Macaca mulatta: one gene and its partners. The protein of the gene in region 1 purifies or fractionates together with the protein of each later gene. This does not show direct contact. Links are inferred from orthologs where the notes say so. Each region holds a gene or a part of one and is shown on either strand. Other genes may lie near its edges. The genes, in order: SDC2, AMPD2, PDPK1 and CAMKV.

Region 1 (6,830 bases):
TAGTGTAGATTTTGCTTTTGAATCGGTCTCACAGTGGCATTAATGTCACTGTTACAGATATCCTCTCTAGTTTGTTATAAATTTAAGTGACTAAAATGCAAAAAAAGCCATCTCATTATTTGTTTGAGCAGAGCATCACTCATAAGCTTTTACTTCTGTTCCATTTCCATGGCATCCAAACAACCAGACATGGATGTGGCAGATCTTTACTTGGCCTCATTTAATCATCCCTGCTGCCTTTTTGCAGATTGATTTTGCACATATATTCATACAAGAGTTAAGGTATTTCAGATTAGTTCCATATTACAAAATGGTTTCTTCTTAGTCAAGCCTCTGCCTCTATACGATAAAACATTTCGACTTGAAAAATGAATTTTCCACCCAGAGCTGCTTGAGGCTTGTGCACTTCCAGCTGCAGGGCGGCTCCAGTTATGTGGAGTCCTTCAGTCCCCATACTCTCAGATCCCTGGATTGCACGCTTTGTTCAGCCTGCCGGATCAGAAGCTGAGTCAGAGGAAACTGAAAAGATCAACTCTCTTAAATGACTTTAGGGACCCAAAAATCCCATGGTGAAACCATATGATTTGTAATAACAATGGAACAAAGATGATGTGGATATGGATAAATTAAACTCAGTCTCTCATATTACAGTGACTGCTTATGTCCATTTCATTTCTCACCAGAACTTGTTTACCTCTCTCCTTAGTCACAAACCTGAGTATTCACCTATTTGATATTTCTCTTCCCTTTTCTAACCTGTGATAGTAAAGCAGTACTAATGAGCAGTGAAAAGGTTTCTAGACTAGAACCCAGATAATCCATTCTCTGATCTGTTGTCCGTCCTTCCACCAGGCAGCCAATTAATGATGGGCTTTTCATGAGAAGAATAGAAAAAAATCAGGAAAAATACTGCCAATGTGCTGCTCTCTTCTGCTTTACTTTGGTACCCGAAGGCCTGGGAAGGCCTATCATAATTTTCTTCTCTCATAGTAATAGAGAGGACCGTGACCTTTTCAGTGCATATTGTGCACCAGTGCAATGAACATTTTTCTATGGCCTCTGCTTTTTGTAAAGCATAGGAGGTTGAGGTTTAGATAGTACAGAGTTTCTTGCAACTTGAGAACGACAATTACTCTTTATTGTACTTTATTACATACCACCTTCAGTGGAAGCCTAGCTTTCTGCTCACTGAGACAGGGACCTACTGATCTTACATACCCTAGAGTACAAATGAATCCACCTGGTCTAGCTTATGGTCCTTCCTAGCAATGAGGGTGGCCTTAAGGTGCAGAAAAGAAGTGTGATGTCGTCAGGGTCCCACAGGAGCTACTTGCACAGCCCAAGAAGGTGAGGTCTTTTCTTCTTACACTCTTTAAGCCTCTAGACTTAACTAGCAGGCCGCCATTTTGGATGAACTCTAGCCTTCAGAAAGCAATCAGTTGCTTTGCTGAGCCATGGTATGTTAGACTCTGTGGATCCTAATGAAGATGGTAGGAAGCTCTCAGGAACTTATGAAGAGTAGTAGAGCTGAGGATTATTGTCTGCAGTCTTTTTTTTTGAGACAGGGTCTCACTCTGTCACTCAGGCTAGAATGCAGTGGCACAATTATAGCTCACCCCAGCCTCCAACTCCTGGGATCAAGAGATCCTCCACAGGTACACAGCACCATGCCTGGCTAATTTAAAAAATGTTTTTGTAGAGATGAGGTCTAAGCATGTTGCCCAGGTTGGTCTTGAATGATCCTCTCACCTCAGGCTCCCTACCCAGCCACATTTAGTCTTAAACCTCAATGAAGTTGACAGTGTTTTCATCAGTGATGTTGGCCAACAAGAACTTCAGACTGTTAGAGAATGAACAACTCCTTTGAATGGGACTTCTCTAACCCACTGGTTCTCAAACTATAGAATTGTCTGGAGAACTTAAATAGCAATAAAAATCAGTGCCAGCTACATAGTGCCCTGTACAGCTCAGAAGTGAAGGAGTAAGGAGAATTGGGACAGTGCTGTTGGATTGGAGCAGTCAGAGGGAGATGGTGACCTGAAGTCAGACCAATTGAAATGGAACCTCTGGTAGGAGGCCTGTATTTTTTTCATAGAAAGATTGGGGACCACTGAACTACAGCACAGATGTTAAGAATCATTTTTGATGATGAAGAGGTGGTGGAAATGGCCTCACAGGGTTTTCTGCTGGGAGTAAGTGGTGGATTGGGTGAGGACTGGAAGCTACCCAACACGTACAGTTCTGAGGTCGAAGCAGGATGGGAGCTGGGGTGTGATGTGCTGGCCACCTTAACAAAGCTGTGGAAATGAGACCCCAAGGGAAGAAGTTAATGTGAGAGCAAGATGGAGGCAAATTGACAGTGCTGTGACATGGATAACATATGATAAGAAATGCGTCGAAATAGATAACTTGGGAACACCCCAAAATACAGCGCCATTAATGGGAATAGAAAAGAAGGCTGATCCGATTCAGCAGTGAATTAATTACTACTTAGACTTGACGAGTAGAGTTAAAGGTGGTACAGCCAACAGTTAATGTCCTGCAGGCTGCTGACTTCTTGGGAATAATGCTGACTAGAGATGGCGGCTGTGAGAGGTAGATTTCTACTTGAGCATTGTGCAGTGTCTGAGACCCTGTGAGTGTTGTTCATTAGACAGGTGAGGAAATCCAGGTGGAGAAAAGAAGTATGATATGATCAGGGAGGAGCTACTTGCACAACCCAAGTCCCCGGAAGTCCTGGTCCAGGGTTTGCTGAAGGTGATATGACTAGGGGGAAGCATTAGGAGTAAGGCTTGGGGGTTGCTCCCTGCAGAGTGGGGACAGGAAAAGCCCAGTCAGGCATGAGAGAATATCTGAAAGGGAGCTGTTGTCATCGTGCCCTGTGTAGTTGAGAAGTGAAGGAGTAAGGAGAACTGGGGCAGTGCTGTTGGGTTAGAGCAGTCGGAGGGAGATGGTGACCCGAAGTTAGAAGAGTGGTGAGAAAGTAGAGATCTTAGGAAATGTCCACTAAAACAACCTCACCATGTCCTTAGCATTATTATGAACTCACTAGCTCTCTGACTTGCCTGATCATGTGATGGGTGTTACGCAAAACCATGAACTACATGGGTCCATCATGACACTCACCCATTGCTATAAACATCACACAAGTGTTTATTCCAACTATTTCCTAAACTCATTCTTTGGGGAAAAAAAAGGAATTTTGGAGTATACTCATTATTTCTTCCTTCCAGCACATTTTCTTAAATCAGTGTAATCTTTCCCTGTTTCCCATACCAGTCACCTGAAGAAACTGATAAAGAGAAAGTTCACCTCTCTGACTCAGAAAGGAAAATGGACCCATCTGAAGAAGATACAAATGTGTATACTGAGAAACACTCAGACAGTCTGTTTAAACGGACAGAAGTCCTAGCAGGTGAGTATCCTGGTGGGTGTCAGGTGGGAGGGTGCCTGTATAGGCTTCTGTTAGTCTAAGTGATATTCAGAAGTGCAGCAAAGCTTGCTGTCACCTTTCTGCTGAAAGCAGTCTTGCGGATGCTTGCTTCTACAGCGAGAAGCAAGAGGCTCAGCAAACATTGTCTTTATTGTCCACCAGCTCCCTCAACCTACCCCTTCACCAGCCATCGTGCAGGGGATGGGAGGTAGCCTAAAAGAGGGAAAGTTAACATCTGAATTGATCCAGAACAACTGGATGTAGAGAGATGGCAGAGTGTGAAGATCCATCAGTCTTGCTCGAAGGCGTTCCACATTTCAAAATAAAGAGAAGGAAAAGTTCTTTAGGGGGAAGGCAGTTCACATATGTACTGCCCAAGGTGTTAAGAACGTTATTTCTATTTTAACTTAATTGGATGGAAGTGCACATATTTTAAAGGGGAAAATTTTCAAGATTTAGGAACACTTGATAGTCTCAAGTCCAAGAATAGAAATAAATTTGCATGCTTTTTTCATATATACTCTTTAAAATTTTAAGTCAATTACACTGTTTTGTGTTGAAAAAAGCAATTAGAAAATTAGAATATGAAATGTGAGTTCTGAAAAGACAAAAGTAGTTTTCAAGTATGGAATGAGTGAAGATCAAGGCCAGCTTTTTCTTATTGAGGTTTTTGGGTGGTATTGTTAACACTAACCAAAGAAATTACTGTACCTTCCTGAGGAGTTTGAGATTTGCATAGTTACCAGGTTGCTTCATTGAATCTAGTTTTTTTTGTTTTTTTTTTTATTGGGGTTTTCAAATTAAGCCTTTTAGAAAAATGTAAGCAGATTGGGCTTGACAATAAAGCTAACGTCTGCAACCCTTGAATCTCTTCTAAAGTCATTTTCCTTTTGATTGTTTCAGCTGTCATTGCTGGTGGAGTTATTGGCTTTCTCTTTGCAATTTTTCTTATCCTGCTGTTGGTGTATCGCATGAGAAAGAAGGATGAAGGAAGCTATGACCTTGGAGAACGCAAACCATCCAGTGCTGCTTACCAGAAGGCACCTACTAAGGAGTTTTATGCTTAAAACTCCAACTTAGTGTCTCTATTTATGAGATCACTGAACTTTTCAAAATAAAGCTTTTGCATAGAATAATGAAGATCTTTGTTTTTTGTTTTTTTCATTAAAGAGCCATTCTGGCACTTTAATGATAAAATCCCATTGTATTTAAAACATTTCATGTATTTCTTTAGAACAACATAAAATTTAACATCTGCAGTGTTCTGTGAATAGCAGTGGCAAAATATTATGTTATGAAAACCCTCGATGTTCATGGAATTGGTTTAAACTTTTATGCGCAAATACAAAATGATTGTCTTTTTCCTATGACTCAATGATGAAAGCTGTTTCATTTGTGTCAGCATGTCTCAGATTAACCTTACCAAGTTGGTCTTACTTTGTTAATTTATCTGTTGTCGCCCTCCTCTCCTCTGCCCTCCCTTCTTGTGCCCTTAAAACCAAACCCTATGCCTTTTGTAGCTGTCATGGTGCAATTTGTCTTTGGAAAATTCAGATAATGGTAATTTAGTGTATATGTGATTTTCAAATATGTAAACTTTAACTTCCACTTTGTATAAATTTTTAAGTGTCAGACTATCCATTTTACACTTGCTTTATTTTTCATTACCTGTAGCTTTGGGCAGATTTGCAACAGCAAATTAATGTGTAAAATTGGATTATTACTACAAAACTGTTTAGTCATATCTATCTAATCAGATCTTCTTTTGGGAGGATTTGATGTAAGTTACTGACAAGCCTCAGCAAACCCAAAGATGCTAACAGTATTTTAAGAAGTTGCTGCAGATTCCTTTGGCCACTGTATTTGTTAATTTCTTGCAATTTGAAGGTACGAGTAGAGGTTTAAAGAAAAATAAGTTTTTGTTCTTAAAAATGCATTTAAGTTGTAAACGTCTTTTTAAGCCTTTGAAGTGCCTCTGATTCTATGTAACTTGTTGCAGACTGGTGTTAATGAGTATATATAACAGTTTAAAAAAAAGTTGGTATTTTATAAGCACAGACAATTCTAATGGTAACTTTTGTAGTCTTATGAATAGACATAAATTGTAATTTGGGAACATAAAAACTACTGAATAAATCATGTGGCCTAATATTGAAAATGTCACTGTTATAAATTTTGTACATTTTTGATCAAATGTACATCTCCCCTTTGCTAACGGCCGTCTGCTCTCAAGGATGACGTGGGTTTGATTTCTAAGTGTTCCACAGTGTCTGTAAATCAAGACCAAAGAGCCTGTCGATGAGACTGTTTATTACTGAATTGGCCAGAGGAAATCTGAATGTATTATCCTGTGTGTGTCTAGGTAGAGATATTGGAAGGCTGCCAGGGAATTTCGAAGTTTGCAACCTTTATTGAATAGCTGATGGCAATATTAAGACAGATGCCTGCTTTTGCAAATAACTTCTAAGACTCTAAATTCCAAAGATCTGAAGGGGGCTTTCCTGATGTTGGTATCTAAGGCTTAGGCCTATAGATTGATTTACCTTTGCAACTGTGCTCCAAGTGTCTACTGAAGCTTAACCGAAGAACTAATAAATGGACTACAATAGCTCACGTTACAGGGAAGGAGGGTAGGCAAGGAGGCTCTGTGTGTTAAAATGAGGGCCTCACTGCTTTAGGATTGAGTGGCTGGAAAGAGTGATGCCTGGGGAAGGAGATGGAGGTATGAGGGTACCCTGGCTGGTACTTTCTGTACTAAACATTTCCTTTTTCTATTTTACCATTAATTTTGTTTTAAACTGTGAGCCATCCAAGTAGGAAGACAGCAAAAAAAGCAACTTTTCCAACATACAATTTACTTTTAATAAAGTATGAATACTTCATTTTGAGAGCATTCCCTGGAATTGCCACAGAATTCATTAGAAACATTTTTTAAGCAACACTTGGAACAGTGTTTACTTAAATCCTTAATGGCCTTAATTAATTCTCAAATTCCTGCCCCATCACGTACAGAGTCAATTCACTTCAGAGTGACTAAAAGGAAACAGTGCTTTCTAAAGCCACGCAGTGTCCCTCAATTACAGAGGGTAGGAACGGTTATACCTCTAACTGTGCAAAGCAGAGTGCAATTCAATTCATAGAATAACAACTGCTTGGAATATCCGTGCCAGGAAAAGAAAAATTTCTGGCAAATATTTTGTCACTGCTGTAAAGCAAAATATTTGTGAAAGTGCCAAAATAAAGTCTGTCATGCCAAAAGTAAATCATTGTATAGACTGACATCCAGTTTTCTTCAACTGTACACTTTCTGCTTAGTTTTTATTTTTAAGATGCAGTAAATAATACTATAAAAAGTGTTAGTAATGATTACTGAGTTCAGGAAAATTTTGGTAAAATG
Region 2 (7,476 bases), on another chromosome or scaffold:
AAACAGGTAGAGGTACAAGGTACAAGGTGTGCTCAGAGAAGACCTGGACTTTGATGTGACTGGACTGGAGTGAAAGGTGCACGGAGTGGAGGGCTGGGAGGTGAAGATAAGGACAAGAAAGGGAAATTGGAGCCAGCCAGTGAAGCGCCTTCAATGGCAAGGGGTTTGGCTAAAATCCACTGGGGTCTTATAAACAAGTACAGATGGAAACAGCTGCATGGTGCTATAAACACAATGCTGGGTGACTGAGGTGGGTGGTAGAGGGAGCTGGCTGCTAGGAGAAGCTAAGAAAGCAGAGCTGAACAGCTTGTTTCTAGAAGGGCCTAGGCATAAGGTATGGTTTGGGAAATTGCCCTGGCCAAGGACCTTTTTGGAGATGCAGATATTCTCTCCCAAGTTTAGTATCTGTGAAGATTGTTCTGGCCTAGCTAGGGAGGCTGACATCACAGTGAGCTGAAGTCCAGAAGTAAAGAAAAGCAGTTCTTCAGAGAAACAGGAGTGCACCATCGTTAGGGAGCTGGGATTCCAGGAGGGTCAGTTAAGGAGCCATGTGGGGAACAGGCTAGGAGGGGAGGAAGCTGTGTTTGGAGCTAGGGAAGATCCCAGAGGCTCAAAAGCAATGTTAAGGCCTCAGTGTGAAAAAAGCCCAGGCCATAGGATGACTCAGGCCTTTATTTCCCAAGCTCTATTCTGCATAGACAATGAAACCTCACTGTGATTCTTGCTGGTATTGAGTGGGTGGAGGGACTGATGCTTAACTGTAATCAGGGCCGACTTCCTAGCAGCCACAATACACCAGATGACCTGGAAATAGGGGAGGGTTGTAGAGTGAGGGGTGTGTTGCAGATCGGACTAGGGGACTAGCATAAAGGGACTAATGAACTGGTTTGCCTGGGCTGGGTGGAGGGCAAGGATTGCCACCTATTGGCTGCTGAGGTAGGTAGGTCTGCATTAAGCAGGAGGCTCAAGAGGCCTGGCCCAATGCAAGATACTATCTTTAAAACTATGTCAACATTTGCATCTTATCAGAAGATACATGACATTCTATGTAGTTACATGGTGCTTGATTTTTGAGATTCATTTTATTCATTCTTGAGAGTCCATCAGCCTCAAAATCCCTAAGGGCCCCAAGACCAATTCAGTGGGCCACAAATGTAAACAGAATAGTTTAAGTCTGGGGTTAAGACCCAGGGAAGTCTGGGTTGGGGGGACTGTGGAGTCAATTATGGATTTTTACCGATTTTTGTTGATTTCTAGTCCCTTGATTATAAAAGTTATGGGTATGTATTATAATTTTCAAAATGCAAATAAATAAAATATAACCCATAATTCCACCACTACAGATAATCATTGGTAAACTTGTTGGTGTGTTTCTTTTCTACCCATGTATATCACATAAGTAGGACCATTCTGTATATAGTGTTTTGCATCCATTCTTTTACCTAACTTTATATTGTAAACATTTCCACATCATTAAACATTTCTCCAAGAACAATTTTTAATGGCTGTATTTCATGGTATGAATCTTCCATAAACATTCCCCTACTGTTGGGCCTTTAAAGTGTCTAACTTTCCTATGCAATACACATTGTGGTGCTGAGCAACTTTTTGCATACATATTTTTCTGGCAGCTTTTTTAAGAAAAACTCCAGAAAATTGATTACTGGGTCAAATAATAAGAACCTTTTTGAAACTTTTGATTATATATTACCAGATGGCTTTCAGAGAGATTATATCAGTGTTCAAGGCCACCAGTAATGTGTGTGCACACGTACGTGTGTGTGTGTCTCCCATCTCACTAACTATACCCTTGCCACCTGCATTAGTGTTTGTTTTTTTGTTTTTTAGTCTTTGCTATTTTGATAGGTAAACCTGGTTATCTCTGTTCTCTTTTTAGTTCTATGGATTCTGTGTGAGGTGAAGAGGCCAAGTTTTTTTAAGTTTGTTCAGGGAACAGTAGACAGGGATCAATGGAAGTGGCACCAGATGCAGGTGGAGCACAGGGTTCAAAGTCCAGAATCCAGCGTGGGGAGAGAAGAGGCAGGCAGAGTTTGGGAAGGAACTCTGCTGTGGGGGTGGTGAGAACTGGGAGGAGCCAGACAAACAGCATTAGAACAACTGGGTTTGGGGGGCAAAGGCCTCCCACAAGAGGGAAAATAGGGAAGAGATTAATTCCTGCTAATGCATTTAATTATATTCAGTGAAGTCTTAGGGACTTCCCTCCACAAGTTCCCTTTAGGTCGGATTTTCTACCCCTTGGCAGTGGGGATGCTTGTTGGATAGGATGTCTGCAGACCCCAGAACGGCTGTAAGTGAATCAACCTGTGAGTGTCAATAGAGAACCAAGGCCAAGGCTAAAGCAATGGTAATAATAAAAAAGTGCTAACTACAGGCCAGGCACAGTTCTAAGCAGTTAACTTACATTAACTCATTCATCTTAACCACCATATAAAGCAGGTACTCTTACACTCATTTTACGGAAGAAACAGAAGCACAGAGAAGTTAGGTAACTTGTCCAGTATCAGGAAGTAGGTGAAATCTGGATTTGAACGCAGACATTCTGGCTAGAGTTAAAGCTCTTAACCACCAAATACAGAAATGTGGGAAGGGGAGCCAGAATTGCAGGGCACAGCCTCCTACCTATGCCGGCCGGAAGAAAACAGACGACCAGGTGAGATTGCAGGGGCAGGACTTCTGCTTAAAATGAATCCTGGGACGATAACAACAGCTACCTTTCATTGGGCCCTGACTTCGTGCCAGGCACTAGGTAAAGGGACTTTACGTTTAATCTTCACAGTAACCCCTTTGAGTGAGGTACTGTCATTACCCCATCTTACGGATGAGGAAGCTGACGCACGAAACTGCCCCAAGATCAAGGGTCAGCTCAGGCCAGCCCTACCGCGGTGTGGCGGCTGCCCACGTGGCGCCCAGGAAGAGAAAAAAATGGCGAGGCGGGGTCGGCAGGCGGAGGCGGGGCCAGGCGGGGGCGGGGCCAAGGGCCGCAGAGCCTGGCGCGGAGCCGGCGAGATTTTCGTGGGGTCGCACCTGTTGCGTGACTCCCCCACAGTCCGGCCGCGGGAGTCCGACCCTGAATGCCCAGGGAGTGTTGCGAGAAACCTGGACGAGTTCCGGGTCCCGCTCCCTTGGGAGCACGTGGCCTACCCGTCTCTCGATTGCGATTGCGGGGTTGGGTGGTCGCGACACCGGGGTCGCCTTGAGGCCAGTCTGGCTGCCGAGATCTGCGGGAGTCCACCTCCGGCCAGCTGGCAATTTTGAAAGACTGCCTTACTTTCCCCATCTCAGTGCCAGGGCAGGGGCCCTTGGAGTGACTTGGCCGGAGTCTGGGGCCCGACCACCCTGCCCTCTCTCAGGACCCGGGCTTTCTGCTGTGCAGACCCTCGTGGGCAGCCTCCCCTCGGAACTCGGACACCATGGCTTCAGGTGAGTGTGTGTACGTGTGTTGGAGGGAGGGTCTCTGGGACAGAGAAGTGCTGTGGCCAGGGTGACAAGAGGGTGGGAGTCACAGCACAGCGGCAGGACGTAGGGAAGGCGGTCAGCTCTTCCTACGAGGGCCTGGGGAGCAGAGCCAGAGTGTGCAGAGCCAGAGGAAAAATCCGAAGAGGCTAGGGTCTCTGTCCCAGACCCCCAGACAAGGGGGTCTCCTGGCCTTCCTGCCTTCCTAGGAGGTAGCTATTTGGCGACGGTGGAATTTTCCCAAGACAGGCCCCTCCCTCCTGGGCTGGGATTCTCGGTTCTTCCCCCTCCTCCCAGAGCTGAGCTACCCCCGGAGCTGAGGGTCAGATGTGGAAGGAAAGTGGGTGCTGGGTTTTCACGGAGTATGCCAGCCCTGCCCCGGGAGGACTGTGTTTGAGCTTGGACTCACTCGCTGCTGAATTCCTATTTGTTATTCTTTTTTCTTCCAGACTAGCTGGAAGGACCAGCTAGCCTGGACTTTGGCTTCTTTGCCCTGGAGCCCTGGCATAATGGGGTGAGGGCTCTTGGTGGGTTAGTGGAGAGCTGGGGGCTGGCCCTTCCCCATCTTCTTTTCTACCCACTCCCTCCCCCGCCCCCCGCCAAGCCCAGCCACCATCAGTCACGTCACTCCTGGGACTGAGGAGGGAGGGGAGGGATAGGGGGCAGAGATGGAGGCCCCACTCCCCGAGGTTGCCTAGACAACATGAGAAATCGTGGCCGGGGCCTCTTCCGCCTGCGGAGCCGCTGCTTCCTGCATCAGTCACTCCCGCTGGGGGCGGGGCGGAGGAAGGGGTTGGATGTGGCAGAGCCAGGCCCCAGCCGGTGCCGCTCAGACTCCCCCGCTGTCGCCGCCGTGGTCCCAGCCATGGCATCCTATCCATCTGGCTCTGGCAAGCCCAAGGCCAAATATCCCTTTAAGAAGCGGGCCAGCCTGCAGGCCTCCACTGCAGCTCCAGGTGAGTGTGTGCTTCCTGGCCTCAGGATAGATGCTGGGCTCTGTCTTGCCACCTCTCGCCCAAGCTGCTGGTCCCCTCAGAGGAGGCCACCTCCTCTGGCATCCTCTCTGTGGTGGTGCCTCTTAACCTCAGTCCCAGGGACAGCCGGCTTGGAAGGTGGGGTGAGGGGTGGCCGGGGGTGGGGGTGGATCTGAGATATCTGTGCCAGGGATGCTGTCCTCTGTCACAAGGAGTGGGCATGGTGTGGGTGCAGCAAGAGGTGTGTGTGCACACGTGTCAGCGTGTGCATGTGCTAAGACTGCATGTGGAGCATGTGTGAATGGAGTGGGGGTGTGTGGGACTGTTTTGTGGACTGGCCACTCTGACTGGTGCCTGTGCCTTTACCAGGCAGGCTCAGGCTGTTCTGTGACTAGTTCCACTTTTTAGGACCCCACATCTAGATCCCCCTCACTGGGGGTCTGACATCTGGGCACAACCATTGTTGGCTGGCATCCCACAACTGGGGGCTTGACTGTATCTATCGTTTGCTATTTGCTCGTTCCTTGTCTATGTCATGAGCCTCCTTAGGAGTATGGGGCGTCCTTGGTCAGGTCCGTGCAGGCTTCAGACTGGGGCTGCTGCCCGCACTGCGTGTGCTCCTGCACCCTTTGGTTCGTCTCTCACTCTAGTAAGCATCTCTGCATCATTTGGAGCAGGCAGCGAGGTGCAGCAGCGCCTGTCTCAGTGAGGGCTTGGCTGCCTGGCTCTGTGCTTGCAGAGGGCTGTCTGCCTGCTGTCTGCTCCCAGGCCTTGTGGCTAAGGAAAGACCCACCCTGACTTTGATGACCAGATCATGCTGACTGCCCCCCACCCTTGCAGCTGTCTGTAGCCATAGCCCTACTATCAACCTCCTATATTTTCTTGTTTCATTGAAGATGCCTAGTGCTAGGTCTGTACTGCCCTGAGGGTGTTCTCTGTGCCCAGGTCTGTGCCATCCAGAAAGGGTGTCCCCTGGGTGGGGCCCTCCCTGGCCCTGTTTGGTTCAGCAATAGGGCAACTGATACGGATCTAGCCCAGAACTGGATACCCTTCAGTGGTCAGATGGTAAGAGCATCTGACACTTGTGGGGTCAAAGCCGTGGACACCCCTGTGCCTACTGAGGCAGTCCTGGCAGTGTGTGAGGGGCTCCTGGTCGAGAGGGGAGATGGGGTGCTCAGAATCTCAGAGTTGGTGGGAGTGGCTCTGGAGCGGCCCACTCTGGCTTTTGCTTGACTTCTCTGTAAGTGTGGGTGTATGTGTGTGGTGCTGGCCCCTAGAGAAAGGACCAGTAGGCAGCTGAGTCTTCTAGGCCTGGCCTCTGAGAACGTAGAGGTTACTGCCTGTGTGTCACCTTCAGTGAGCCTGTGGCAGCCCTGGAGAGTGGCCTGGCAGGCTGGGGGGATGGCGTTGGCTGTTGGAATCTGTCCTGCTCACCCCAGAACTGCTGTGGAGCCCCAGACCCCTGTGCTAGGAGAGGGGGTTGAGATTTGGGCCTTTGACTCAACTCCTGCTAACCCAATATGAACTAGCCATGGAGGTCTGTGGTCGGCCTCCCCTAGATGGAGTTAGAAGTGGTCTGGGGCCATATGTAGGGAGGAGGTGTGTAGAATCAGGGTTCTTGGGCAAGAAAAGGTCTTACACTCTGGTGGTGAGGCAGGGTCCCCTCTTTTCTTCCTTTTTCTACTTTGTCCTTTTCCAAGAAAGAGATAGTCACCCCATCTCCACCCCTGCCAAGTTCACTTCACTGCCCTTTACTGGCCTATTGCCTTCACCCTGCCCTGGGCCCAGAGAACCTCCCACTGTCCTCAGTGGGCAGGGCTACAAGTAGGATGTATTTTGAAGGTCCCAGGAGTTCATAATTGCAGGCCTCGCCTCAACACAGAGCCTGGTGTTTTGCAGAACACTTGCAGAGCCATTATCTCTGTGAGCCTTATGGCAGTTGTGGCTAGGCAGGGAAGGGAGCACTTACCGCCCCACTTGTAGATGAGGACCCAAAGCCTTCCATGATAGGTAGAGACATGCCTGGAAGCAGGAACAGAATCAGACCCATGTCCTCCAAATTCTAGCTCCCTTTCTCCCAAACTTATTCTGGACAGTTTGTCCCGTCCCTGATGATAGGCTTGGATCAGGGATTGCAAGTCTAGGGGCCTGTGAACCAGTCCCCTGAGCAGCTGGGCAGCGGGGAAGCCTCAGTGACTGGCCCCTACCTAGACTGGGCCAGTTCCTCAGCTGCCAGTTAGCTTCTTCCCCAGCAAAGGCCCTGTCTCTCCTAAGGGACCCCATAGTCAGGGCCCAGAGGACAGTGGTGAGTACCAAGGCCACTGCCAGGGGAGGCTGACCTGGGGCTGTGGGTGTGGAGATGAGGAGAGCTGTTCCCTTCCTTTTTCTCCCCTCTTACTCTTTGGCCAGCCAGGCCCTGTCCACTGACTGTCCCCTAGGGCAGTGGATTTTAAGGAGGCTTGGCTCCTCCCTGCCGGCCTGCCCTGCCCAAATCAGCCTACCCTGCTACTCCCCCTTAGGAGCCTCACATCTGGCTGGGTCCTCCCTGGCACTGTAGAGGCCCTCTTCAGTTCTGGAGCTCATCTTATCTCCCAACTCTGATGCTCCTTTCCTTGGTTTCTGGGCTCCCTTGAACTCCCCTAGCTCTGTGCTCACGGCCATCTCAGGGTCTCCCCTGCTTGCAGCTGCACTTGGTACAGCCTGTGCCAGCCCCTGAGGGACTGGCTGCAGCTTCACTGGCAAACAGGCGGGCAAGGGGCACAGGGCTGCTGGCTGGAGCTGCCTGCACTGTGCAGGTAGGGTTCAGGCAGGGCCCAGGGTGTGCAGGGGACGGGGTCTTGGATCTGGGGAAGGCCCCTCCCTCTTCCCTTCGTCCAGCTTTGGGACCAGTCCTGGAGTATTGGGAAATGGGTGCAGAGACTTTAAGGCCGGCTACCCAGGCAGATCCTGTAATCCTTCCCTAAGCCAGGGTGGAGGGTGCTGGATGGGAGCACTCCTTACAGCCAGCTGAGAGAGGCAGTTTGGGTGT
Region 3 (7,410 bases), on another chromosome or scaffold:
CTCAACTAGCTTGAAGGGGACCCCCAGTAATGACGCCTCCTGTGTAACCTTCATACCCTTGTGTAACCTTGTTTCACTTTGTAAAACATTTTATTTAAAGTTTTTGTTGTTGTTAGAGACAGGGTCTCACTTTGTTGCCCAGGCTGGTCTCAAACACCTGGCCTCAAGCAGTGCTCCTGCCTCAGCCTCCCAAAGCACACCCGATCTCTTTCTATCAGGGTTGTTGTGTGTGACCAGCAGATGTGTTAGAAGTGATGGTGTGTCACTTCTGAGGTTAGGTCATTAAAGACATGGCAGCTTCTATCTTGCGTGTGTTCTCTTTCTCTTGGGACACTCGCTCTGGGGAAAGCCAGCTGTCGGGGCTTGAAAAAACACACCCCTTTGAAGATGCCCATGTGGTGAGGGACTGAGGCTTCCAGCCCATAGCTGTGGGAATGTGGGAATGAACCTTTTAGGAAGTGCATCTTTCGGCCCTGCTGTAGCCTTTGATGACTCAGCTCTGGCTGCATCTTCATGGCAACTTCACGAGAGCCTGAGGCAGACCACCCAGCCCAGCCTCTCCTGGATTCCAGACCCACAGGAACCATGAGTTAGATGTCTTTGTTGTTTTACACATCTAAGTTTTGGGGCAATTTATTACACAGTAGTAGATAACTAATACACCAGCTGTAGGGCTTTGGGCATGTTCCTTAGCCTCTGCACCCCCATTTCCTCCCTTGTGCCATGAGAGTTGTAGAGGTGAGTGAGGAATGCATAGATGCAGCACAGGGCCACACACATGAGGCAGCTTTCCAGCCCCTCCCGGGATGGTCCTGGTCATCTTCTGGCTCTTCCCTGGATGGACTGTGACCTCACAACATCAGGTCAACTTACTGCATTCTTGGCCTGAGGTCATCCATTGGCCATGGACAGAGGTTCTGGGCAGGAAAGGGTGAGCTAAAGAGAGGGGTCAGTCTCCTTCCTCCAGCCCGGGTCCGGAGAATCGTGCTGGGCCAGGTGAGACATCCACTGTCTGTGTGGTGTCCTGGGATGGGAAGCTGGACGTGACTCAAGGGGAGATTTGTCTCTGTCTCCAGAAGGCAGAGGTGCTTCCCGGTCTCCTTGCCTTGGGCTTGGCCAAGCATTCTGGCTGCCATTGGGGCCCCCAGGACAACTGAGAACTGTCCTTTCTTCACCTTCAGCTGCCCCTCTCCTCTGCCCCCTGGTGCCTGCTCAGATGCTTTCTTCATGGAACAGCGTCCTCCTGACCCCTGGCCCCTGCCGCTGAGGCTCCTCCACCCTGGGCTCCGTGTTCTAGAGTTCACCGTGTGCTAGTTCTTCAAGCTGTTTATTCTTCACTGCTTCCTTTTTCTCTGTGCATTACTCAAGAACTACATGGCCATGTGTCAATATAAAAAAAAAAAAGTTGACTGGGCGTGGTGACTCACGCCTGTAATCCCAGCATTTTGGGAGGCTGAGACAGGCAGATCCCTAGAGTTCGAGACCAGCTGGGTCAACATGGTGAAACCCAGGATCTACAAAAATATACAAAACATTTGCCCGTGCGTGGTGGCACATGCCTGTATTCCCAGCTACTTGGGAGGCTGAGGCAGGAGAATCGCTTGAACCCGGGAGGCGGAAGTTGCAGAGAGCACAGATGGAGCCACTGCACTCCAGCCTGGGCAGCAAAGCAAGACTCCTATCTCAAAAAAAAAAAAAAAAAACCAAAATCAAACCCAAACACTTTTAACTATCATCGACATTAACAACTACAAAGCGCCCGGCTAATTTTATATTTTTAGTAGAGATGGGGTTTCTCCATGTTGGACAGGCTGGCCTGGAACTCCTGACCTCAGTGATCCGCCCGCCTCGGCCTCCCAAAGTGAGCCACCGCGCACGGCCATGAATGTGACTTTATAGCCCAGATTTCCTTCCGTGAACGCTTGTTAGTTGTGAAACTAGCAAAGTTGCACCTCCGAGTTTACATAGAGCCAGCTCCGGAATCCGAGTTCCGGGTTCGAGCACAGCGCCGCCGCTACCTCGGGCGTGACCTTGGTCGGAGCCCGGTCCCCTCTGAGCCTCAGTTTCCCGATCTGGGAGCCCGGAATGACAGCTCGCCCCCTGCCCCGCCCAGCCCCGCCCAGCCCCGCCCCGCAGGCCCTGGGATTGGTTGGTGCGAGGTCCCCCTCCCCAGGTGGGGCCGGGCCTCTCCCGCCTGCTAGGCCCCAACCCGGAAATGCAGCTGGGGCGGAGGCGGGGCCCACTCAGGCCGCGGCGGAGCGACGCTGGGCGCGGCCAATGGGCGCGGGCGGCGGCTGCGGCGCGACGGAAGTCCTGCCCGGCGTCGCGCGGGGGCGGGGCGGCGCCGGGGGCGGCGGGCGGCGGGCGGCGGGCGGCGGGCGGCGGGGCGGGCGCAGGATGAGGGCGGCCATTGCTGGGGCTCCGCTTCGGGGAGGAGGACGCTGAGGAGGCGCCGAGACGCGCAGCGCTGCGGGGGAGGCGCCCGCGCCGACGCGGGGCCCATGGCCAGGACCACCAGCCAGCTGGTGAGCGCGCGGCGGCGGCCTGGGCGCGCCGGTGGCCTGGGCGCGCCGGCTTGTTACCCCGCCGGGTGCGGCGGTCGCCTGGGTCCGGCGAGGCGGGGCGGCCCGGGATCCCCAGGGCCGGGTGCCGCCTCACCTGTAGCCGGGCGGCCGGGCGGGGGATGGCGGGCGCCAGCCGAGGGCGCTGCTCGGCTGCGGCGGGGAGTCCGGGCCTGGGTTGCGGCGGGCGCCGGCCTGGCCGGGGGCGCTGACAGACGCGCGGAGGGCGGGGGAGGCCGGGAGGTGTCACCCGGCCCAGCGGGGTGGAAGTGCCTGGAAAGTTTGTTTTCGGCTCGGCGCAGCCTGGAGTCGAGCCTGCAGGGTTACCTTTCGGTTCTGTCTGTAGAGGAACCGCCCTGGGCTTCCACCTGGAACGGGGTCCCTGGCGTCTCCGCCTGCGAGAGAAGCAGAAGGTGCAAGTTCTTGCTTAAAGCACCTGATGCGCCTGGGCCCCCGTCTCCAGATTCTCGATGACAGTGGTCGGGTAAACTCTCCTTTCACGGCCTGGCCAAGGGGCATTTGGGTGCTTTTCCTGCCCGTGGCTGTGCTCAGCGTTGTGGGAAGCCCCTGGGAGGCCGAATGTGCAGGATCACCGAGGGGAAAGTGAGCTTGACAGGTAGGAGGGATTTTACGGGAAGGACCGAAACAAACCACTTGTTGGGTGAAATGTTTTGCTAAAAGTGTCGCTGGTGTTTCTATATTTTCTTTCTGTCGCTAAAAGTATTCCTCGTGTTTTTATGTTTTCCATATGCTAAGTTCTACAGTCTGGGGACGATGGTTTAAGAATTTATGCCTTGTATGCGATGCGCAGTGGGTGATGGAAGAACGTCTACATAGCTTTAAAATTTGATTTAAAAGGTGAATATTTTAAATGAAGGAAAACTCAAGAAATGTAATTGATCCTTTATCGGATGCGGCTTTTTTTTTTTTTTTTTTTAGATAGAGTCTCGCTCCCGACGCGCAGGATGGAGTGCAGTGATGCGATCCCGGCTCACTGCAACCTCCAACTCCCGGCTTCAAGTGATTCTAGCTGCTGCCTCCCTAGTAACTGGGATTACAGGCGTGTGCCACCATGCCCGACCAATTTTTGTATTTTTAATAGAGATGGTGTTTCGCCATGTTGGCCAGACTGGTCTTGAACTCCTGACCTCAGGTGATCTGCCCGCCTAGTCCTCCCAAAGTGCTAGGATTACAGGCATGAGCCACCGTGCCTGGCAGATGTGGCTTTTTGATAGGCGTGGCTTTTTGATAGGCGTTCTTGATCTTTTTTTATGTGTGTATGGGGGTGTAGTGAGTCTGAGAACCTGAGGAAAGGTATGGGCCCTCTTCCGAGAAAAATGCAGTGCGACACTGAATTTTGTAACTATGTCAGGAGGCTCTTGAACTTTCTGCAGCTCACTTGTGGACTTTGTAGAGATGCGTGATAATCCGAAGTGTTAAGGAAGAATATTCAGTTGAGAAAAATGTCGAAGGGTTGAAAGAGATGCCTTTCGCTATTTCGACTTGTGTGGCTGTACCCCAGAGTGCCCCGGGTAACATAAAAACATGAATTAGGGGCCGGGCGCGGTGGCTCAAGCCTGTAATCCCAGCACTTTGGGAGGCTGAGACGGGCGGATCACGAGGTCAGGAGATCGAGACCATCCTGGCTAACACAATGAAACCCCGTCTCTACTAAAAATACAAAAAAATTAGCCGGGCGAGGTGGCGGGCGCCTGTAGTCCCAGCTACTCGGGAGGCTGAGGCAGGAGAATGGCGTAAACCCGGGAGGCGGAGCTTGCAGTGAGCCGAGATAGCGCCACTGCACTCCAGCCTGGGCGACAGAGCGAGACTCCGTCTCAAAAAAAAAAAAACAAACATGAATTAGGCGGCTTGCTGAGGCTCAGCGGAGGCTGGGGCCGAGAGTCATGTCGAAGTTTGTGAGGTTAACCTGCACCCAGTGACAGTCATGGCGAAGTTTGTAACTCGCACCCAGTAACGCTGTTGCAATGCAAGGTGTATATTTGGTGTCATCCACGGGAAGAGGAAAGAACAAATTTTCTCACGGCCTTGGCAGTTCCACATGGTGGACATTTAGTATCTGCAGTATTCTTCACATAAGGCAGCTTTTTTGTACAAAAACATTAGAATCCAGTGAGCAAGAATGATAGAATACAGGATAGATTTCCACATGAGGAAGTGTCAGGAACGAGGCTTTTGCATCTCTGTCAGCTGGATTTCCACATGTGTACATATGTGAGAACATGCTGTGTTTCCTGTCCATAATGGTGGAGGCAGCCCTAATATTGTATTTTCACTTCAGGGTTGGGGTGGGTTTGCATCTGGACTTTAGGGTGGCCCTGTAGGCCCTGTGTGAGAAGCCCCTGCCCGGTGAACTTTCCCACGTGTGTATGCGTGGACAGCCAACAGAGGGAGCAGTGCGAGCGTGAAGGCAGACAGTGGCCTGGCCCAGTCTGATGCTAAGTGGGCCAGAGGCAGTGAGTACCATTTCTTGAGCTGACTACTTAAGCCAGGCGCTTTCCTAGGTACTTTCACACCTCACTGCAAGGTAGCTGTTGTTCCCATGTTACAGGTGCAGAAGCTGAGCTGCAGAGACGTTAAGTACCTGCCTCATAAGTGGTAGAAACTCCAGTGTCACCCTGCCCCTCACGTTCAGAGCCCCCGAGGGAGGGTCTGCCGGGCAGCTCAGCCCAGCACTCTGTGTAAGGAAGTCTTCAGTGCCACCGTCCAGGATGTCTTCCCGGGGATTGGGCCTGAACGTCTTGACCATGCCTTGCTGGAGACAGGAGGGGTGTCTTCATGTGGATTGACTGTACATATTTCTTTGGCAGATGGCTGAGCTCTGTGACCCCGGGGCCTGTTTCAGCCTCCTGCTGTCAGAAAGCAGCTGTTTGGAAAGAGGCTGTGATTCGGCCTTGTTTCAGGGCCGATACTCTGAATGGGTGAGGCTTGGAATCCTCCCTTTGGAACAAAGAAACATGTAATGATTTTGCTCAAGGTAGAATTGGGGGACTAGGCAGAGTGGGCTCCTGCCCTCCCTAGGGTGGTTCTGTCTTTTGCAAAGGTGGCTGCATCCTTAGGGGAAGGTGAGGGGAGAAGCAGAGAGCATGGAGAGCAGTGGCTTTCGATTTTCTCCCTCCTTTTGGGGAGTTCCTCCTTATGTGGCTGGTCTGGTGCATAGTGTGATGTATCCCTGTTCCCACCGATGCCCCGACAGCCAGTCCAAGCTGAGTCCAGAGTTGGCAAGGTGAGGTCCCAGTAGTAAGAGGGAAGTGGTTTGTTTGGCTCTTCTGAGATGTGTTTTATGAGAAAGATCCAGCAGCAGCCTGCAGAGATGTGGGGCCTGAAAAGAGGCCTTGGGCAGGTCTTCTCAGCAGGCCTTGGCCCTCTAGACTGCATTCAGCACAGTTTTGGGGAGGAACAGGGAGCGTTCCCTTTTTTTTTCTTTTTTCTTTTTTTTTTTTTTGAGGTGGAGTCTCTCGCTCTATTGCTCAGGCTGGAGCGCAGTGGTGCGATCTCCGCTCACTGCAAGTTCTGCCTCCTGGATTCACACCATTCTCCTGCCTCGGCCTCCCAAGTAGCTGAGACTACAGGTGCCCGCCACCTCACCCGGCTAATTTTTTGTGTATTCGGTAGAGATGGGGGTTCCCCTTGTTAGCCAGGATGGTCTCGATCTCCTGACCTCGTGATCCGCCCACCTTGGCCTCCCTAAGTGCTAGGATTACCAGTGTGAGCCACTGTGCCCAGCCTAGTGTGCTGGAGTGCAGTGGCACGTCCTCGGCTCACTGCAAGCTCCGCCTCTTGGGTTCACGCCATTCTCCTGCCTCAGCCTCCCAAGTAGCTGGGACTACAGGCGCCCACCACGCCTGGCGAATTTTTTGTATTTTTAGTAGAGATGGGGTTTCACCGTGTTAGCCAGAATGGTCTTGATCTCCTGACCTCGTGATCCACCCACCTCGGCCTCCCAAAGTGCAGGGATTACAGGCATGAGCCACCGTGCCCAGCAGTGGTCCCTTTTCAATCTATACATTCATCCCCTGAGCCGCCTGACCCAGGGTTTAGATGCTTCAGAGCAAGTGATTGACACGGGTGGGAGATGGAGTCCAGCAAGCAGATGATGAACTGGGAAGCGCTGCAGAAATGAGGGGGCGAGCATGGCCAGTCCCTTCTGAGAGAATGTGTTTGGAAGAGAGTGGGCACTGGCGTGGCACTTTCCCCCTCTGAAGAGGCATCTTCTGTGGAAATGGACTTGGACAGGATGCCACATGGTACAGCAGTTCTGTGGGGGGCAGGTTGTGGCTGCGGAGAAGCACTGGGTGCAGAAACAGTCCCCCGAGCAGGTGCGAGGGCTAGGGTGCTGTGTGCTGCTCCACGCCTGCCGTGCGGTGACAGGTGGCCAACGGGCTGCCCAGCACAGTTGTTTAGAAAGCAGGTTCAAAGGGCAGTGTGCTGGGAGGAAGTGCTGGTGTGGAAACTGCAAGTTTTGGACATGTATTGCTCAGGTCTTTTCAGCCGTGCCTCCTTCTATAACAGAATTGCATTATTCACTTGCTCAGTGTGACATCATGTCCTTTAAAAAATATTTGAAAATTGAGAACAGGTTGTATGTTCCGTCTCTAGCTGTTAGATCACACGCAGGGCACATTTTCTCAAAGAGTAACGAGACATGGGTTCTGTGTGTTCTCTTCTCTCTTAGCGAGGAGAAAGCCCTGTTTGGGTTCATGATGCTTGTTGGGGGGGGTCTCTTTTCTGTACCTGATGTTCGTTGCACAAAGTCTGTTTCCATTCTCTTAGTCTAGAAAATTTTCCTGATATTTCAACTGGAATTTTTGCTCCAACAAATTCCAGGTCA
Region 4 (7,387 bases), on another chromosome or scaffold:
CCTGAATCCTGGGTAGGGCGCCCAACCTGAGCTGGGGGATGAAGTTCTGTGGATACTGAGGCTCACACCTTATTATGCCACTCGGACTTTCTAGCTTTGGTGGGAGCCAGAACTATGAACTTGGGCCCTCTTCTCCTCCTCAGCCTCCCAACCCAGGCAGCCCCTGTCTTCAGGGAACAGGCCTCCTTAGGAGTATCCTCATAAAGGCTACTAGGCAATGCCAATCTCAATTGCCTCTGCTCTTCTTCCAAACTGTGCTCTGTGCTAAAGGACTTCCTGCCATCCCTCTGGCCAGTGGAGTGGTAAGAAATCATGTCCCCTGACCCCATCTGGCTTTGAATAGTAGAAGTAAGAACAAAGCTCAGCATTGGTCCAGTCCCTGCCCTGGAAGAGCTAAGAGGATGGCATTCAGCTGGTGTTACTATCTCCTGCCTGAAAGGCAGCTGGAGGTGAAGCCAAAACATTGAAGCCGGTCCTACCCTGCCTGTGCCTTCCTGTCTGCGGGCTGAGGGATAAGCCATGGCTCAATCCTAGCCTTGGGTTCTTGTCTTCAGATTGCCCTCCACAAATGGCAAAGACTTGTCTATCTTCACATACACCAGAGATCAAGGGGCTGCTCTGGTGGGGAGCCTGAAAACAACCAATGATGTAGGGTCAGCACAGACCCTGCCCGCCCCTGGACATGGTCCAGCCCCCTTCCCATGTCCGGCTCTCAAAGCCTGATTCAGTCTCCACAATCCTGAGACTTGTGTCAGGCAGGAAGGGGACTGACAACTCCAGGGACCAGCTACAGAGTCCACACACACGTGCCAGCAAGCATGCCTGGGTGCACAAAGAATGCAGACACACGTGCCCCTGGGCACCATTGCATACACTATGCTGTTGCATCTCCCTCGGCAAAAGACAGCATACACACACGTACACGTGTGCACACACACCCTGCCACGTGCTCTCACCCACATGCACAGAGCGTGCTTAGGACCAAGAAGAGGTGGAGTACTGCCAGCAGCAGGCAGGGCGCTAAGAAGCCACCCCTTCCCCTGCCTAAACATCCCCATTCCAGCTTCTCCTTGACCCCATGCCTGGATAGCCATGACCCTCAGGAAAGACAGAAAACAAGTGTGTGGCATGTGTGGGGTCAGCAAGCCACAGCTTGGCTACACCATAAAACTCAGAGACCCATTGTTTCAAGAATAGTGGGCAGATGGCAGGAAGGACTCAGTGCCAGGCCATTCATTCACTCTGCAGACATCAGCCGAGCATACTGATATGAGAAACGGGTTCTGCCTTGCAGATACCCAGCCTGCCAGGAGATTCCTACCCAGTGGTGGGGTGGATCCCATAACCCGAGACCACTCAGAACCCAGGGACCCCAGAAGTGGCACCAGCCTGGCCCAGAGGAGGTAACCCCAAGCCAGGGAGGAATGTGAAGGGCTCAGTACCCACTCTGGAGGAAAATTTTGAGGAACCTTGTTTGAGGCGGTCATTTCCTAAGCTAGCCTTCCAGTCTGAGCCCCAGCCCCAGCTTCTGGACTTGGACAGTCCCTCCTGTCATCGGCCATGGGTGGCCATGCAGGGGAGCCTCAAGATGGCTGAGGGTTTGGGGATGACCCCAACTCCCTCTCCCACAGCAGGGTCAGGAGGCTTGCTGGGAGGAGTGGGGTGGGATAAAGCCCAGCTCCAGACACTGAGAGGCCTGAGTCTGGCTTTCAGATACTGGCCTTAGGATGGTCCTCAGGGCTTGTGAGGGGTGTGGGTCAGGCTTTGGGTCCATGAGCCTCACTGACAAGGGACAGAGAAATGGCCAAGGACTTCCTTCAAAGCTTCCTCCTGGTGGTTCTGAGCCTCCTCCCTCTGATTAGCGCCCAGGCCGGGTGAGATACCTTGGTGCCACAGTTCTCCTGTGTCCCTATATCCCAGGCCAGGCCACCTAGAGTGATGCTAGTCATGAAGTGTTTGAGAGTGATTAGACTGAAAAGAAAGCAGAGGCCACACCATGTCACAGGTGACTTTTATAGTTTGGGAAATTTGGTGCCATACAGGAGGGGGCTGACTGTGCCAGTCACCCTTGCTGGGGCTTATGGTTGGGAAAGACTGGCCTTGCAGGAGTTGGGGGTGGGGTGGGATAGGAGACTTTGCTTCCAGAGTCTAGGGCACTCACTGTTTTCACACTGACTACCTGCAAACAGACACCTCTGTGTATTAACTGCTCCTAGCTAGGGGATGCCAGTCTGTAGGGGAGCCTGCCCTAGCCCGACTGCCCATCTGGTTTTTCTAAGTTGGTCCTGCCTTTTGGGTCGGGTTCGGGGAGCTGGGCAAAGCCCCGGTTCCCTAGAGACTAATGGCTGGCAAGCGATCCTATGCAGCTCAAGGACTCAGGCTTTCCCCCAACTCTCCACTCCCCACCCCTTACATTGGGCATAGGAGGCCCCCTCCGACCCCAGGCTGAGGGCCTAAGGAAGCCGTTGAGAACCTTAGCCAGGGCTAAGCAGGCCAGTGCTCACCAGCACCGCTGCCATCCCGCGCGAGCCTGCTCTCCAGTGGGATTCTGCCCTTAAGGCTCCGCCAGGGTCGGGGCGGGGCCGGTTGGGAGGCCCCGCCCCCAGCCCGCCCCCGGCCCGGGGTGCGAATCCGGTGCCGGCAAGCGGCTGGCGATGCTAGAGGTTCGCTAGCCGAAGCGGCTGCATCTGGCGCCGCGTCTGCCCCGCGTGCTCGGAGCGGATTCTACCCGCCGTCCCCGGAGCCCTCGGCGCCCCGCTGAGCCCGCGATCACTTCCTCCGTGTGACCAACCGGCGCTGCAGGTGCGGGGCTGGCCGGGCTGGGGGCGCTTCCCGAACTCACGTTGTGGGGCCTTGGGGGATTGGTTCCCTGGCTCGAGGTTCGGGATGCAGAGTGCGCGGGGGCGCAGTGAGGGCTCGAGGTCCTGGCGGGGTCAGAGCGCGCGGGCTTTGCAGATTTGGGGGACGGAGTGCGGGGTCGGGCTAAAGTTCCCCATTACCTCGGACGGCTTGGGGATCCTGGGGGGAAGCCTCTGCGGCTCGGAATTATGAAAAGATTAACCCTCGAAGATTCGTGGTCCCCCGTGAGGATAGGGGCCGAGAGCTGAGCCGTCCCTCCCCGTTCCCAGAGCCGCCTCCAGCCCCTCCCAACTGTCCCCGGGCCCCTTCCCTCCAGCTTAGCAGTCACTAATTTCCATGACAACGGAGAGTTCTTTATGGGCGACAACCCGGAGGGGGCTGGGCGGGGCTGCCGCGGAGTGGGGGAGGAAGCTCCAAGCCCCTGGGGACCAGCAGCCCCCCAGCCAAAATTCCGCTTCTAAGCCTTCACCTGGGGGCTAGCCGGGGGTCCAGTGCATGGACCCACGTGCACGGTGGGGGTGGGGGCGCACATGTTCCTGCTGGGAGGTGCGGGGCTTGGTGCTCACACGTGTGCTTTCCGCATGTGTGTTGCTGTGCCAGCGGGGGCGAGCCAGCAGCACTTGGGAAGGGGGTCAGGGTGGCACCACGGTGGGGAGCAGGGCCCCTGGCAGGAGGTGGCTGGGATAGTGACAGCGTGAGCTTCTGCCTTCCCCAGCTTGTACTGTCTGGCAGAGACCCTGGGCTCTTGAGCCCCAGCCCCCTCCCCGTGTAGCTCTGCCAAATTGCTTTTGTCCTCACCTCCCAGGCAGAGCCTGCTCCACCAGGTTCCTTCCTAAGGATCAGGGCCCTCTGTCCCACACTAAAAGCTCAGAGTCTGCAGTAGTCCAGTTCCTGTGCTGTACTCCCCTTACCCCCAAGTCCAGGCTTTGAGCCCCCAGGACTACCTTCAGAGACCTGGTGCCCTCCCCCACCCTCAGAGTTGATTCCTGGCAGCTCCAGCGACTTCTGAGCCTCAGTTTCCTCAACTGGGAAATTGGTGTCTCCACTCCCCTCAAGGTCAGGTTGGTTTCCAGGGTGGGGCAAGGGTCTCCCTTTTCTAATACAGTATTTGGTGCGGACCCTTCAGGTGTCCCTCCTAGGCTGGCTGTTCACATATCTCTGATGGCCTTACTCTCCAGCCCCATGCCCTGGCCACCATTCACAGGCAAGCAAGCAAGCAGTGGCAAGCAAGCAGTCCTCTGCCCTGGGAGAAGGCCAGATTCCATGGTTTCTATTTGGGGAAACTGAGGCATGGGGAGGGGAAGGGCTGTGCAGTTATTCTGTTTCTGGGTTGCTTGTGATGCCATTTCTGGCATTCATGGCAGGATCTGCTGTTGGGGGTGGTGAGAGGGGATTAAGCAGAGCTGTAAGAGGGGCTCTGGGGACCCAAAGCCTGGAGAGGATAGCAGATGGGGGAGGGGTTGGCTGGGAGGGTCTAGGTACAGCTGGGCCAACTGAGAAGAGGGACTATAAAGGGAAGCAACTAGGCATCCAAGCCTCATTTCCATCCCCCTATGCGTCTGCCTTCAACATGTTGGACCTGCTTTACCTAAGCTGCCGTGATGGCAGAGAGATGGGCTGGGAACTGTCCTGACTGGGGGGCTGTAGCAGCTGGCCTCTTCCTCACCAAGATGCTCCAAGGAGCTGGCCTCCTTTTGGCTGTGCCTCCTATGCCAAGTTCAGTGTATGTTTGGGGGATACAGGAGGGTGCAAGCTGGAAGGTCCAGGTACCATGGATAGCTCCTGGCCCAGCGATTTAGAGCACATAGCCATGGAGGCCTTAGGGCTCTGCTGGGCACCCATCCGTCCCCTTCAGAACTCCTGTCCACCTCCCCTTTCCTGCCCTTTGTGCCTGTGTCCCTTTTACTTTGTCATCTCCTTGCTCCTCTTCCATCACAGGTTCTGTCTTTGTCTGTGTCTCTGCCCCATTCTCTTTTTTCTAAATTCTCTCAATCTCCCCACCTCCTCTTTATTGATGGGGACCTGGGTCACAGAACCTTGAAGAAGGAGCCAGGCTAAAGTCTCAGGGAATTCTTGAAGAAGGGACCTAACCAACACATCTCCCCTCCCCCTCCCCTTGTTTTAAAACTTCCATCACCATAGCAACCCTTTACTCTAGTGCCTTCCTCTGCATTTCCCCTCCTCCACCCACAGGGAAGCAGAGCCTCCAGTGGATTCTCCTTCAGGGGTTCAGAGATTTGGACCCCAAGTGCTTGGGAGGAGACAGCTGACCTTTGCCTCTGCCTGCATGTTGAGAGCCAAACTTTCAGGACGTAGCACTGGACTGCATGCCCACCCCCAAGATTGGAGAGACCTCCCCACAATACTCCTTCATTAGATGGGCAAAATTCAGCTGTAGGAACTTCTACCATGATTTAGCTGGAGCCTGAGGCTCAGTCAGGGCAGCCCCTTGACCAGTCCCCTGAAGCAATTGGATGGTGGTCTAGAAGCTTGGCCCTTGTTCCTAATAGACCTTGAGTGAGGTCTTCAGCTCCCCTGTTCCTGTGGGTGACACCTCAGCTGTGAGTTAGGCAGGGCTTGGGCTTCAGCATGTTCATTGCAGCAGGAAATCCAGCCCCAGTCCTTGAGAGAGTAGAGCAGCAGAGAGTAGGGGGTGCCTGCAGGCTGGTGTTCACAGCTACCACTAAATTGGGAGGTGCTGCCTACAGTTGTTGGGAGGCAGCTGGAGGCCTCTTGGGCCTCTCCTGGCCTCCCTAGATTTACTGCAAACTCTGGAGTCCCACATGGCAGGGGACCAAGGTAGCAGGAAAGTCTGTTTATGTCTATGACAGGTAGGGCCTGAACCAGGATGATCTCAGTGGAGGAGGGGACAGGACCCCAATGTGGGGCCTCTGGACCTCTTGGCCTTTGTTTTGTTTGGGCTTTCCCTGGGTCAGACTTACCTAAAGATGCAGTAGAGTCCTTGGGGGACCATTTGTCACCAGGGCAGCAACAGAGGACCCCTCAGGATTGCTGGAGGCTCAACTCCCTGAGCCCAGTGGTCGGGCCCTGGGAGCAGGCTGTAACTGGGGAGTGCTTGGCTGTCAGGCTCCCTGAGAGCCAGCTGGAGGGCAGTGGCAGCACCAGGGCCTGCACTCCCCACAAGCTCCCTTTGGGCAGCCCGCAGTGCATACTGTTCAGTTCCTCTGCAGAGAGTGGAGGGAGCCATGTCTCTAGGGAAATGACTGTTGTGGGGCTCCCGTGCCCTTCCATGGCCTAAGTGTACCTGAGGAAAAGCTCAGGTCCTGTGTTGCTGAGAGGAGAGCTCTCCATTGTTGGGTGTTGGGTCTGGGCCATGGGGGTGAGAAATGCACACCCCTTCCACCTGGCCTCCTCCCTTTCTGAGAGCTGTCCCTAGACTGTTCCTCCCAGTTCTCCTTTGTTGCAAGCAGGTGCCCAGGGCTTGGTGCACACACCGGAAGCCTCCCAGGGAGCAACAGTGGATAGCAGATGGTGGAGTGGGGGTGGGCAGAGGGAACCAGGGTGCTAATTGAAAGCCAGGCCCCTCTTTCTCCTCTCCTTGCCCTGGGGCCAAGTCCGGGGCCCCAAGCCAGTATAGTTAGACTGGTGAGGAGGAGGAGGAGGAGTGACTGGCTGAAATTTAGGCAGCCATAGTAGGGGGCAGGGGAGACAGATCTGTTCCCATCTCAGCCTTGAGGCTGCAGGACATGGCTCCAGGCTGACATTATGGGGTGGAGGCCCAGCTTTCTGTGGTAGAGATAGACCCCCATGACCAGCCCTGGGCCCCAGTGGGCATGAGTGCATATGCAGAGCTGAAAGCTGGGGCCAGGATCAGGGACAGGCATGCACAAAACCTCCCGCCCACACCACACTGGTAGAGCCGGGAGCTGTTGGAGTGGGGTGGGGGGTGGGGCATGGAGGTTGTGGAAGGTATCTCAGAAAAGGACCATTTGAGTCTGGCCTTGGAGCATCAGGATTGTTTTGGACAATGTGTTGCACAAACTACCTTACAATGTCAGCAATAACAATGAAAGAAGAGATTCAGTTCTGCTCTCAGCACCTTGCTCATGTAGCAGCTGCTCCACAGGAAAGCCAAGGTGGGCAGAGCTCTTGCCAGTGCCCACACTTCCTACCATTGAGTGGACACAGTTGAGCTGGCGAGTCACCTGTTGTTGGACATTTAGGTAGTTGCTGAATTTTTTTTAATGTTATAAATAACTCTGCCGTGACAAATAGGAATCTGACGGGAGGCTTTTGGGGGAAGGGCACTCTTGCCAGAGGGAATGGTGTAAGCAAAGCAACAGAGCTGGGGCACAGGTCCCTCCCAGCCCTCTTGGGAGACTGCAGTCTAAGGTACCACCCTCCTGCCCAGTACATGGCCCTTAGACTGAGAGGACTGTTGCAGGCCCCCTCCCGCAGATGTTGTGTGAAAATGTGTGGCCGGCAATGGTAACTGGCTATGCCTCTGCTCTCAGCTGTGAGGATGAGATTCTGGCCACATGCTTCTCCCCAGTGGAGGAGATGCAGG

The links.
Region 2: the proteins of SDC2 (region 1) and AMPD2 purify together in Homo sapiens (co-immunoprecipitation; 3 studies listed by BioGRID and IntAct, counting the BioPlex papers as one, with this or other methods). This does not show direct contact. The link is inferred for Macaca mulatta from reciprocal best matches to the Homo sapiens genes SDC2 and AMPD2.
Region 3: the proteins of SDC2 (region 1) and PDPK1 purify together in Homo sapiens (affinity purification with mass spectrometry; 4 studies listed by BioGRID and IntAct, counting the BioPlex papers as one, with this or other methods). This does not show direct contact. The link is inferred for Macaca mulatta from reciprocal best matches to the Homo sapiens genes SDC2 and PDPK1.
Region 4: the proteins of SDC2 (region 1) and CAMKV purify together in Homo sapiens (affinity purification with mass spectrometry; 3 studies listed by BioGRID and IntAct, counting the BioPlex papers as one, with this or other methods). This does not show direct contact. The link is inferred for Macaca mulatta from reciprocal best matches to the Homo sapiens genes SDC2 and CAMKV.

The regions. Positions count from the first base shown.
Region 1 is NC_133413.1:107,003,742-107,010,571, forward strand, and holds the end of SDC2 (syndecan-2 precursor), read left to right. Parts: intron 1-3,279; coding exon 3,280-3,415; intron 3,416-4,336; coding exon 4,337-4,500; 3' UTR 4,501-6,702; downstream 6,703-6,830. UniProt on the Homo sapiens protein: Cell surface proteoglycan which regulates dendritic arbor morphogenesis.
Region 2 is NC_133406.1:130,580,769-130,588,244, reverse strand, and holds the start of AMPD2 (AMP deaminase 2), read left to right. Parts: upstream 1-2,994; 5' UTR 2,995-3,431; coding exon of another isoform or gene 3,432-3,441; intron 3,442-3,923; 5' UTR 3,924-4,177; coding exon 4,178-4,430; intron 4,431-7,147; exon of another isoform or gene 7,148-7,243; intron 7,244-7,476. UniProt on the Homo sapiens protein: AMP deaminase plays a critical role in energy metabolism. Catalyzes the deamination of AMP to IMP and plays an important role in the purine nucleotide cycle.
Region 3 is NC_133425.1:3,776,728-3,784,137, forward strand, and holds the start of PDPK1 (3-phosphoinositide-dependent protein kinase 1), read left to right. Parts: upstream 1-2,409; 5' UTR 2,410-2,501; coding exon 2,502-2,525; exon of another isoform or gene 2,526-2,556; intron 2,557-3,479; exon of another isoform or gene 3,480-4,084; intron 4,085-5,992; exon of another isoform or gene 5,993-6,527; intron 6,528-7,410. UniProt on the Homo sapiens protein: Serine/threonine kinase which acts as a master kinase, phosphorylating and activating a subgroup of the AGC family of protein kinases.
Region 4 is NC_133407.1:113,342,082-113,349,468, reverse strand, and holds the start of CAMKV (caM kinase-like vesicle-associated protein), read left to right. Parts: upstream 1-2,620; 5' UTR 2,621-2,802; intron 2,803-3,108; exon of another isoform or gene 3,109-3,182; intron 3,183-7,387. UniProt on the Homo sapiens protein: Does not appear to have detectable kinase activity.